Saccharomyces cerevisiae S288C: one gene and its partners. Changing the gene in region 1 together with any one later gene gives a genetic interaction. Each region holds a gene or a part of one and is shown on either strand. Other genes may lie near its edges.

Evidence for each region.
Region 2: mutations in FSH2 (region 1) and SHC1 together harm fitness more than expected from each alone (negative genetic interaction), as found in Saccharomyces cerevisiae (one large-scale study listed by BioGRID).
Region 3: mutations in FSH2 (region 1) and HAB1 together harm fitness more than expected from each alone (negative genetic interaction), as found in Saccharomyces cerevisiae (one large-scale study listed by BioGRID).

What each region holds. Positions count from the first base shown.
Region 1 is NC_001145.3:715,138-717,916, reverse strand, and holds FSH2 (putative serine hydrolase), read left to right. Parts: upstream 1-1,607; coding exon 1,608-2,279; downstream 2,280-2,779. Other genes in the region: ubiquitin-specific protease UBP8, read right to left, coding at 1-1,202; FMP42 (Fmp42p), read left to right, coding at 2,472-2,779. UniProt on the Saccharomyces cerevisiae protein: Serine hydrolase of unknown specificity.
Region 2 is NC_001137.3:348,564-353,736, reverse strand, and holds SHC1 (Shc1p), read right to left. Parts: upstream 2,040-5,173; coding exon 501-2,039; downstream 1-500. Other genes in the region: recombinase RAD51, read right to left, coding at 2,555-3,757; PUP3 (proteasome core particle subunit beta 3), read left to right, coding at 4,391-5,008. UniProt on the Saccharomyces cerevisiae protein: Required for the activation of chitin synthase III (CHS3) activity during the sporulation process.
Region 3 is NC_001134.8:770,801-774,856, reverse strand, and holds HAB1 (Hab1p), read right to left. Parts: upstream 936-4,056; coding exon 501-935; downstream 1-500. Other genes in the region: APE3 (aminopeptidase Y), read right to left, coding at 1-157; YBR284W (metallo-dependent hydrolase superfamily protein), read right to left, coding at 1,225-3,618.

The DNA.
Region 1 (2,779 bases):
GAATGCTTATCTTTTTCCTTCGTTGAACAGTAATTTTTCATATTTAAATAAGTTGGAAATTCAATAAAATCGTCTAGTTTTCTGTTACTTCCATTAAGTAGGTGTTCGAATCTTTTCAATTGCAAAACCAAAACCGATGGTAATTTGTGTATGCCTAGTTGCTTTATTGCATCTTGAGTGCTGTTACACTCCCCACAATGATAGTTGAAATCCTTCAACTGTTCTTTTTTATGGAAACTGTCAAGACATTCATAAAGTTTTTTCTTATCCTTGATATCCAGAGAAAGATCCAAGAATGGATCAATGGTTGTCTTTGAATTATTTTGACAGCCTGGACACACAATAGAACTTTCCAAGGAGCCCTCAAACACAGTATGCACTATGCATTCACACTGCTTATTATTTGCTCTGCTGACTTCCTTGGCATTTGGCAAATCAAGAACATAGCTTTGGTGGATTTGGTTAATTATAAACTGCCAAAATTCATGAGCATCTTGTTGTGAATACCCTGCTAGATTTTGATTGATTTTCCAGGCACAAGTTAAAAGATATATGAATCCGGTTTGCCGATTAGTAGATGTAGATGACGAAGAAGCTTGCTTTGTATTCAGCGCTCCATAAAGTTCATGAACAATTTTATCGAGTGCACATGAAAAACATTTATCTGGAGAACGCACTTTACAATTATTAGAATGAATTTGACTCATTGAGTGCCTAATAAAGTAAGGGTTATGGATTAGACATTGGAGAATACTACTCATGAAACAAGTGGATCCCATGTTGATCAGGCCAGAAAGCCCATCTCTTCTTTCCATGCTAGGAACCATGGTCTTTGTGCACACGTCGTCCCAATACTTCGCTAGGATAGCATCGTTAATCAGATCGATATTCCCTATATAGTCCTCACATTTGAAGCAAAATAAAAGGCCATTATTTGAGTTGATACCAAATATGTGACCAATCTGTTTACTGTGAGAGAGAAAATGCGAATGGTTCCAACATCCACAAAATCCACATTGTAGACACATGAAAGTTGCACCAGAGTTTATTTCGTGGCATGTACCACATTTCATGGTGTTTAAGAATTTTTCCTTGGGTACGGAATGATTTAATATATACCTGGCAGCATTGCACGTTTTTAGAACCCCATCTTTAGACTTTTCATTCTGAAATACTTGCTGTATATGTGGACAAATGCTCATAATTATTAATAACAAATAAAAAAAGCAGGGTTTCAAGTAGGACGACGAGGACCGAAGCTGTAGTTTTCCCTTTTGATCCGATCAATAAATAGTATTCAAAATTATGACAGCCAGTTGAAAGAAATGGACTAACTGGTCTCAAAAGAAAACCTTTATTATTATCCGTAAAATATCTTTTTAGAATTAATCAGGTCCACTAATATAATCCCTTTGCTATTACGACAGCTTTCTAGCCCATATACAATATAAATTATTGATGCTTTTTACACACTATAATCGAGGATTTTTTTTCACTTGAAAAATTCAAAGAAAAGCAAAAAAAGGAAGAATAGAGAAGAAAAAAAAGGTATAAGTGAAGAAAGAATGTGCAATACTACAAGACTATAAGATTTAATAGCTGTAACCATGACGAAGAATGTATTGATGTTACATGGGCTTGCGCAGTCAGGTGACTACTTTGCCTCTAAGACAAAGGGGTTTCGCGCCGAAATGGAAAAGTTAGGATATAAACTCTACTATCCAACAGCACCCAATGAATTTCCCCCAGCTGATGTTCCTGATTTCTTGGGTGAGGTAATTGCTGATGCACCTGGGGATGGTGAGAATACCGGTGTGCTTGCGTGGCTAGAGAATGACCCTTCCACCGGTGGCTATTTCATACCGCAGACGACAATCGACTATTTACACAATTATGTCCTTGAAAATGGTCCATTTGCAGGTATTGTAGGATTTAGTCAAGGAGCCGGTGTAGCTGGATACCTAGCAACGGATTTCAATGGTTTGTTGGGCCTTACAACAGAAGAACAGCCGCCGCTAGAATTTTTCATGGCGGTCAGTGGTTTCAGGTTCCAACCACAACAGTATCAAGAACAGTACGACCTGCATCCAATATCGGTCCCATCTCTACATGTTCAAGGAGAACTTGACACTATCACAGAGCCGGCCAAAGTGCAAGGCCTATATAACTCTTGTACGGAAGACTCTCGCACTTTACTAATGCACTCTGGGGGCCACTTTGTGCCGAACTCAAGAGGGTTTGTGAGAAAAGTGGCTCAATGGCTCCAGCAGTTGACCTGAGGCAAGTATATATAGCACGTAATCTTCACATAATCTTCACATACATATTTATACATGATTAAATCCTCCGGGTAATAATACGTCAAATTAACTTAACTACCGATACGATGCTTCATTATGATAACGATAACAATGGCATCTATAAATGATTTTATTCCTCGTTAGGCCAGTATTAGGGCAGTAAAGACTGTAATGACCAGTACAAGAACGTTGAGATACGCACAGGTTGCCTGTGCTTGTATCTGGTGTCTTTTTTCAGCTGGTATTATCTTTGGATTTGCTGCTTTGAAACCTATTTTAATTTCAGAAGGTGTATACCATGAATTGTGTGATCCTAAGGATGGTGATAGATTATTATGTACTGCACAGGATCTGAAATTAAATTTTATATTTGCTCTCAGTGCTACTGTAACAAACATCATGGCCCTTCCTGTCGGTAAGATTTTGGATATGTATGGACCTCGTGTCTGCGGAATAATAGGATCATGTCTCTTGTTCCT
Region 2 (5,173 bases), on another chromosome or scaffold:
TCATTTGTGCCATTATAATGTAAGCGTTTGTTTTACAAGTGTTAGTGAAGGTACAATGTATGTTATTATTTTTTTTCTTCATCGTTTCTTTTCAAAAGGATGAGATTTTGTTTTAAAATATTACAGATTTCCGCACCAAAAAGTAAATATTATGAAAAAGACACATTAATTTCAACGCTGGGAAAGTAAATAAGTATAACGTCGTATATGATAGAACTAAGAAAGGCCGTGACTTAACTGGTCCATAGCCAATGCCACGGCATTAACGATAGTAGTGCTCAAATACATCTAAAAATGCAGCATATAGGATCTGCGCTAAATAACAGAAGGAGTTTAGTCAGGTTTATTTATTCGATATACAGCAAAGTAACAAATAGTAACGAAAGGTGTGAGGATCAGTCTATTTTTGATCAAACAAACTTCTAAAGTTAATCGAACTTCCACAGTTTGTGAAAAAAAAAACAACAAAATAAAAGGAAAACGAAGTTTGTATTTATCTATTAAATCAACTTTTTGGCTGCCACAGCTTCATGGGAGGTTTTATGATATTTCTGTGCCGAAGGAGGATGTCCTCGCGAAACAAACCCTCCACTTCTGCGAGCGTCTTCTAGTATTCTTGCCGATTCAGTATGCCCTAAAGCCGCCGCCTTCTCATACAATGCCATAGCATAATCTGGATCCGAAATGATAAGATCTTTATATCCCGTCATATAAATATTGGCTAATTCAAAAGGAGCACCACAAACAAAGCTGCTAGCCATAGATGTAGCCCTTCGCAACCATCTATAACCATCCATTTTGGTTAGAATATCATCTGGAAGACCCATCAAACCATGATACGAATATACTCCTAATTTGTACATTGCTGCAGGATGGTTCTTAGTTGCAGCAAAAGTCAAAAAGTTAACCGCCTTCGGTGCATTTCTGGTTACACCCAAGCCGCACTCATAGCAAATGGCAGTTCTGTAAACACTTTCGATGTGCATTCTTTTGGCTGCAGCGGAGAATAAAAGAAATGCTCTTCTATTCTTTATTTTACCGAAAACTCCAGAGGAGTAGGCGTCACCTAGAAGGTACTGTGCATCAGGGTATCCAACGGCACTTAGTTTCTTCAAAATAACTTTGGCATCGTTCACTAAATATTCCTTTAAAGAATCTACAGAGAAGCTATTGCTTTCATCCTCCAGTTCCTTAACAAGTTCGTGTAGTTTTTCGGTATCCAACCCTACCCTTAAAATGTATTGTGCATACTGAAAATTAGAATATATGTCTTGAGTTTTCTTAACTACCTCCCCGTACATTTCAATGGTTTTCCATCTTGGTAGCAAGCTCTTCTTGTTTTTCTTGCCAAGGTGAAATTTGGCCACATTATGTGATTCTGATGCAGTCACCTCATTTGTGAGGCAAAGACTATTGTAAACGTTAAAATCTAGTGACACATGTCTAGGAAGTGAAATGGAACTTGTACTTCTATTGATATCGTTTGAAGAGCCTGATCCGCTTGGATTATTCAAAAAGTCCAAATCATTCGATTGACTAAAAGACAGAGCGACAGATTCATTCTGAGAGGGAGGGGGCTCAGCGAAGTCGTGAAACTCGGAATTACCGTCTGCCGATGTGCCATTTAAAATTTCGGATGAAATTTCAGAAGCAATTTCAATTTCACAAGAACCTTGTGATTTTTCCTTCAGTGAGGAAGAAGCATCGTCCTCAACGTCGTTCTCAAACTCGTCCTGCTCAGGAAGAATCTTTCTTGTGGGAAAAGAGTTATATTTTTCAATCAATGAGGGCGAAGCGTCGATATCCATCGCATCCTCACCAATAGAGGATGAAATTTTTTCTTTATCATTTGTAAACACATCACCTGAGCGTGAAATATGAGATGAAACGGATGACCAGTATTGACGAACTTCTGGTTTATTCAATATCAGAGAGGAATCAGAGGAGAATCCGCTTGATTCCAACTGTTTATCAACCTCATTATAAGCTCCAATTTCAGGGTATGCACCAGGAGTATTTGAGCAAATAGTCATGGACATTATGGGTACTGCCTGATTTTAACAAAGGGATACTCGTAATGTCAACCGTACTTCTCTTGCTGTTAGCAAAAGTATTGTTCTATTCTTTTTTCCAAGTACAATTTTTTATTCAATTTAAAAACGTCGAAACGAAGACAAGGAAATTCATTGCCATAAAGAAGTGTATGGTATTTTACGTTGGTTTTATAAGAGGATGGCGACATATCAGAAAATTTTTCTCTTCACTCCCCTAAAAGGATAAAGCCGCGCGGACCCTGCAGGAGGAAGTAGTCATCGGGAAGAAGAGTAGAAAAATACATATATTTCATGGGTGACAGACAATACGAAAGTTATTTAAAAGAACTGAAAAAAAAGGTTAAGACCGCAGTAGGGTTGCGAGGTATATGACAAAATATATGCAAAAATCTAAGACAGTGGATGGAAATGAAGATAAAAATGTACGGAACGCAACCTAAGAAAAAGAGGAGAATTGAAAGTAAACCTGTGTAAATAAATAGAGACAAGAGACCAAATACCTACTCGTCTTCTTCTCTGGGGTCACCAACACCATCTTCATAGATCGCGAACACACATTCAGCCTCTGGTAAGCAAGGTGAGTCAACAACTTTGCATAATCTTTGACATCCCTTACCCTTTTTGAAACCTAATCGCGTGGTGGAAGAATGTGCCATAATATTACCACCGATAGGCTTCTTTGGATCTGGATTAAAAGCCATACCACCATCAACTTGGGCGACCACTTGGTTAGTAACGACGACTGCAACACCAAATTGGTCGGCCAGCCTTTGCAAAGCACGCATAAATTTGGCTAAATGCATTTGCCTTGCGCTTAGTTCACCACGACCAGAAAAATCCGTACGGTATAGAGCCATAACAGAATCGACCACAATCAAGGAAAACCGAGACTCGCTCATCATTTGGGCAGCAGCATCCAGAAGTCTTAACTGATGATCGGCGTTATAGGCTCTTGCATACGCAACGTTGTTCAAAGCATCATCCGGGTCTAATCCGAACCGCTGAGCTATGGATACCAATCTTACCGGCCTGAAAGTACCTTCGGTATCGATATACAAACACTTACCTTCACCGCCACCAATATCCAATGGAATTTGGCATGTCACGGCCAAAGTGTGACATAGCTGGGACTTACCTGTCCTGAATTCACCGAAAAGCTCAGTAATAGAACCAGTTTCCACACCACCACCCAAAAGAGTGTCCAAATTCTTAGAACCCGTTGTCAAACAAATCAGCTCCGATCTTCTCATATGAAAATCAGCAGCCGTGACAAATCCCATAGGCACTAGCCTTGCCGCTTCGTTTAGCAACTTATCTGCCTTAGCTTCCGATATACCTTTGATTTCCAATAAATCCTTTCTGGGAGCATATGCTACCGCTTCAGCAGTGTGAAGCCCACTCTCCCTTAGTTTTTTCACATCCGCCATAGTAATCCCGTTCACTTGCAGTTTTTCTATTGGCACAAACGAACCTAAGGCAGCTTCATCGTATGCTTCATCCTCCATTTCACCTTGCGCTTCCGCTTGCTCCTGCAATCCGCCACCATCGCCGGAGCCGTTGGTGGCCTCAATATCTTCGCTGCTACCGTTGCCGTTTCCATCAACGACTGACTGTGAAAGGTCTGCTGGTACAGTGGACATCAACGAACCGTTCCCGTACTGAAGCTGTGACTCTGATATATGTTGTTCTTGAACTTGAGACATATGACGATAACAAATTAGTAGGCCTTTAACAAATAACTACGTCTGCTCTTTGTCGCTACACTCAACTACTAGTATATGGAAACTACGGAAGATAGAAGAAGTAACTGAGAAAATTTTTTCTCCAGTCCCCACTATTCCCCTTTATGGTCCCACCACGCGTACTGTAAACAAACCAGGACAGAAATAGCGGAAATGACGCGTAGCATAGGGTAACGAAGTGTGGCCTAGTCGTGGGATATGGTGAGACGGTGATAAAACACTGATACAACCGGTTGGAATGCTCAGGGAATGCTCAAGAAGGCCACCTGTTGCAGGATAGCTAAACTAGATTGGTTGAAGAACGGTAGTGGTGCATTTCCAACATTTACCGTCCATTTTAATTTACTCTGTGACAATGATAAGCCAGATCGCTATTAACGTGGTGTAGTCATGTGACCGGATGGCACTGCCGGTGGCAAAAAAGTGCAAATGCAGGGGCGATGAAAAGAGAGGAAGAAAGAGTTTATGGCATAGTAGAAAGGCCAATTAAATCGGGAAGCTGCTAAGTAAGTTTGAACCGTAGTTTCGAAGTAGAGTGCGTTTCTTGCGAATTGTGGTGAAAATATTGAACAGTGAATAAAGCATAAAAAAAAAATGTCGGATCCAAGTTCTATTAACGGTGGTATCGTCGTTGCGATGACAGGTAAAGACTGTGTGGCCATTGCCTGTGATTTGCGTCTCGGAAGCCAGTCACTAGGTGTGTCGAACAAGTTTGAAAAAATCTTCCACTATGGGCATGTGTTCTTAGGGATTACCGGTCTGGCTACCGACGTGACTACTCTGAACGAGATGTTCCGCTACAAGACGAACCTATATAAGTTGAAGGAAGAAAGGGCCATTGAGCCTGAAACGTTTACCCAATTAGTGTCAAGTTCACTTTATGAAAGAAGATTCGGTCCATACTTTGTGGGGCCGGTGGTAGCAGGTATTAATTCCAAGTCCGGGAAGCCCTTTATTGCGGGATTCGACCTAATCGGCTGTATCGACGAGGCCAAGGATTTTATCGTTAGCGGTACTGCATCCGACCAACTGTTCGGTATGTGTGAGTCCCTGTACGAACCTAATCTAGAGCCAGAAGATCTTTTCGAAACTATAAGTCAGGCCCTACTGAATGCTGCTGACCGTGACGCTCTATCAGGCTGGGGAGCTGTAGTATACATCATCAAGAAGGATGAAGTGGTGAAGAGATACTTGAAGATGAGACAAGATTGATCGGTTCATGGCAATCTCATGGTCCCAAAAACAACCCCAACACAAAATATCAGCGGAACGTCAAGAATTTTCCACATCCAACTCATCTTTAATTTTTAAGTAAACAGAATAGATCGAATGAATATATAAATACTAAAATGCATAAAGTCAGTCGAAGATCTGAGT
Region 3 (4,056 bases), on another chromosome or scaffold:
CGGCAGAGCTATCATCGTCGTTTAATTGCGGAAGATAATTCTCAATTGGCTCTTCTTGTTGAAAGGCTTCCTGGAAGAATTGAGGAATGACATAGGCAGAGCCTAAATTGGTAGCGTAAAACGCAGCGACAGCCAATTGCTTCAAAGAAAAGTGCATGGTTGGCGTTTCTGTTTTTTTTTTTTTTTTGGCTTCTTCTACCAATTGTTGAAAGGCTGAACATGGTTTTGTTCCCATCCATTGTTCCTCGCTTTTATATTGAAAAAAGAAAAATTTTCCTAAGGACCCCTTCTTCCTGAGGGTTAATTTAAGGGAATTCAAAGTGTGTCAATAGTAATTAATAGAACTAATCAATATATTCAGTATAACTTTTATTATTAATAGTATATGATATTACTTTTTGAACTATATATTTATGGAAGCACAAAAACATAGAGAACACTCTTTCTGACGATAAGAAAGGTGATTATATCAAGATATATAATGAAGCAGCTCAATTGTCTTATTTCTTGTATCTCAAGTAGCTCCTTCTAGTGCTACACTTTAGTATTCTGCTTTGTTTATCATCGAACCTATCAAATTCCACGGAATCCTCTGGTGAATATGTGTTCTGGTGCCGTGTTGAGTTATCGTTATCCAATTTGTGTTCATTGGCGACAAGGCCCTTTTTCAGCTCATTCAAATCTATGCAATGATTATTAACGCCTTTCTTATCAATGGCAACCTTACCCAAATTGTTTCTGTTTCTAGTCAGGATTGTAGCCATTTCTCTATCTGAAATGTCCGCCTCCATGCTATCGTCAGTGGGGCTTTCTAAGGATTTTATGTTTATGAAACCATTGTTTTCATTGCAATAGATTATTTCAATGGGGGAAGGCTCTTGCTTTTTAAAGGAGAATAGACTATCAAAATATGAGAACCTAGAAAATATGGTCATTGTCAACTATAAGCGAGCTTAGAGATTTCGAATTGTTATGTTATAAATGGAGTGATAAGACTCTTGTTTGAGGCTTGGGCTTTTTGATTTATATTAAATTAAGATATGTAAAAAAAAAAATAAATTAAAAAACGTGTGTTCTATTTACAGTATCTACTTACTTATTTGTTTATATATTCCATTAGTTTACTTATCTTTATCCTTAACCTTTTTTTTTTGTGTGTGTGGGGAAGGGCGGTACATAATATTAGCGTCACAATATGCGCCCCTCGAAGAAACATGAGCGAATTCACGCAATTATGAGTCGCCACTCCCCTGCGAGAGTGCTACTGCGATATTGACGTCTGATGATCGGAACGTTATGCTCTAAACTTGTATTTGGTTTACAATCATACCACTTGTCTACAAACCCAGTGTTTTCCACGAAGTAGTCATGGCTGGCTAAGGAAACGCCGAGCCATTTGTTCTTTAGGGTACTTGAAAATCCACTGGTTATGACACTGTTTCTTAGAAGTTCGCATAAATCTGCTGAATGTAAACGGTATATACTAGCCGCTACACTATACTCTTCTATAATGGGTTCTTTCGTATACGAATTGTTGTAGAGGATAGATTCTGAGCTCAGCGATATCTTGAACCCCATTTCAAAAAACTTCATGAAAGGGTTCTTCTTATAAGGCTTTGAGGGCTCTAGGACAAGCCCCGTCGGGGCTTGTTCTTGCAGCATTGTAGGCTTTGAATCTACTATGGAATTCAAAGGCGCCACAACCATGGGAATTTGACTTAGATAGAAAAGATACACCAGTGATGGTGGTGCATTCCAGAGATTTTCTGCATTTAGAAACCCTCCACAGGCGAGCAAGAAATTGTTTAAAATAGCTTCCGTATGTTCTGTGAAGTTCAGTGTATTACTAAACTGTGAAGTTCGATTCATTGAGGTGGGAGAACATGAACTTCTCAAAGTGAAGGTATTTTGATGAAGGGCTTGGCGGATATGGTTCAATTTTGTTAGGTTGACGTAGACGTAATACATATATTGTGAAATGGTTGGATTATCACCGCCAGATGTCCAATCTTTTGGCAAGCAACTAACTGCTGTGAAGTTTTTCCAAATATAGTTGTCCGTATCTTGAATACATAGATCAATCGAAGATACTTGAGAAAGAAATTTCAAAAGAATAGGTCCTAATGACTTGTGTAGATAATTTTCGGCATTGAAAAGTGGTTTGAAGATTAGATTTAAATACTCCTGAAAATTCTTCACCTTGCCAGTATGATACAGTTCTGGATAAATTCTAGAAATGCGAATATTCCAGCGAATATTGTTAGAAAATATATTATAGTGGTTCAGCCAATTGGCAAAGACCATCCACCAATTGTCCACATCGGAATTATCGTAATGCAGATAAAATTGGAAGTCCACGGAGAGTTGACATAACTGATATTTCGACTCCTCTTGCGGTTTTATTAAAAACGTTTTCAGTAGTTCCGCTAAGTATTCACCATTAATATAGTTATCAAACTCCAAAAATGTTTTCGCAATCAAATAGTATCGAAGCTGCTTACCGTGTGAGCCTGTGTGTATTTCCATTTCATCGTTAACCAAATGATATTTTGCGAGATAAATAACTTTATACCACTCCAAAAATGAATCGTCAATAATTTTCAACCCATTGAAGAACTGACCGGTCTCCTCGAAATTCACTTTGAATAATTGGCTCAAGGTTATATGACTACCATTAAAAGCTTGATGGATAACCCTGTCCGGTTCTTTTCTCAACTTGGTCCAAATAAACTCAGTCAATTGCCACTGTGAGAAACAGCCGCTTAACAGAAGATTCAGATCAATCTTTCTACAGTTGTAAAAATCCTTGTGTGGCACCTTTTTGCTCTGTCTCATTTCTTCCTTGGAATGTAGGTGTTGAAAAACTGGAAACTTATTTACAAGATATTGTAATCTTTTTTCGCTAAACCTTGATAGGCTTCTATCTCTTATAATTTTCAAGCACCATTCAAAATCTTCCCTAAATTCTTTAAAAGTGGGGATATTAATCTGACTGTTGAACAATTCCGTCATATAATTACCATCCTGGAGGAGGTTTACAGTATTACTTTCCTCTAGATCAAGAAAGTGACGTATTCCAAATAATTTTTCTTTTACAGGTTTAAGATAACCCCCAGCCACTCTTGAATGAAGCTGCGGACATGACAAAGCATCTTGTTTACTTATAGTTAGATAATTTCGCCTTAACTTAGACATTTCCAACAGGCATTTGCGGTCTATGCGGAAATGTGTTTGCTCAAAGAAATAGCTAGGAAGGTGAGCCAAGGATGAATATGCTAGATCTTTTGTTTTTAAAGGTTCGACAGGAGGTGGCGTTTCTGCCGGCATCGCCATGGGTGAACCCATCTCCATCTGCATATCGAACTTCGTATTTAGTGGGACCATATCAAGATCATCCAAATGCAATACTACGTCAGTATTACTATCCTCGAAGATTTGAGCTCGAGGATTTCTTACTCGAGCTTGTGATGTAATTCCTACGTCCCCGTCGAAAGCTAAACCCTGATCCGACACAGCGTCATTTCCATCCAGGTCGTCCAAGCGTATTGGTGAAGTGGAAGGGCTCTCCTTATAAGAGTCGCATTCAACGAAAAAAACCGATTCATTGTTCTGTACCATTGTTTGTGTGATACCCTGATAAGTCCTCCTTTTCCTGTACTATTTACTAAAGATGTCGCCTGTCCTACTTATACTGTTTGTATCCACTGAACGCGGGCGCAAACTCTTTGCCACCCCCGTATTTAGCCGCCAACGATATTTTTGCGTCCAATGATAATAACCGTTGATAGTACCGAAACAACAGAGAACAACCATCATACACTCATGCCAAATTATAAGAACAGACACTGTTGAGACTGTTAACGATATTCTTTCATAACGTGAAACATAAAGTTGTTGAGATACCTTTCTTTTTATTGCTACCGGCCACTTTGAACTACATTACAAGTTATATTCGATTTGCAGCCATATATGTGACTTCAACTGCCCTGAATTGCTTTTCATAATGCATAAGGACTATCCTCGTCTTAGGTTTAATCATTCCTCTGTCTGTACTTA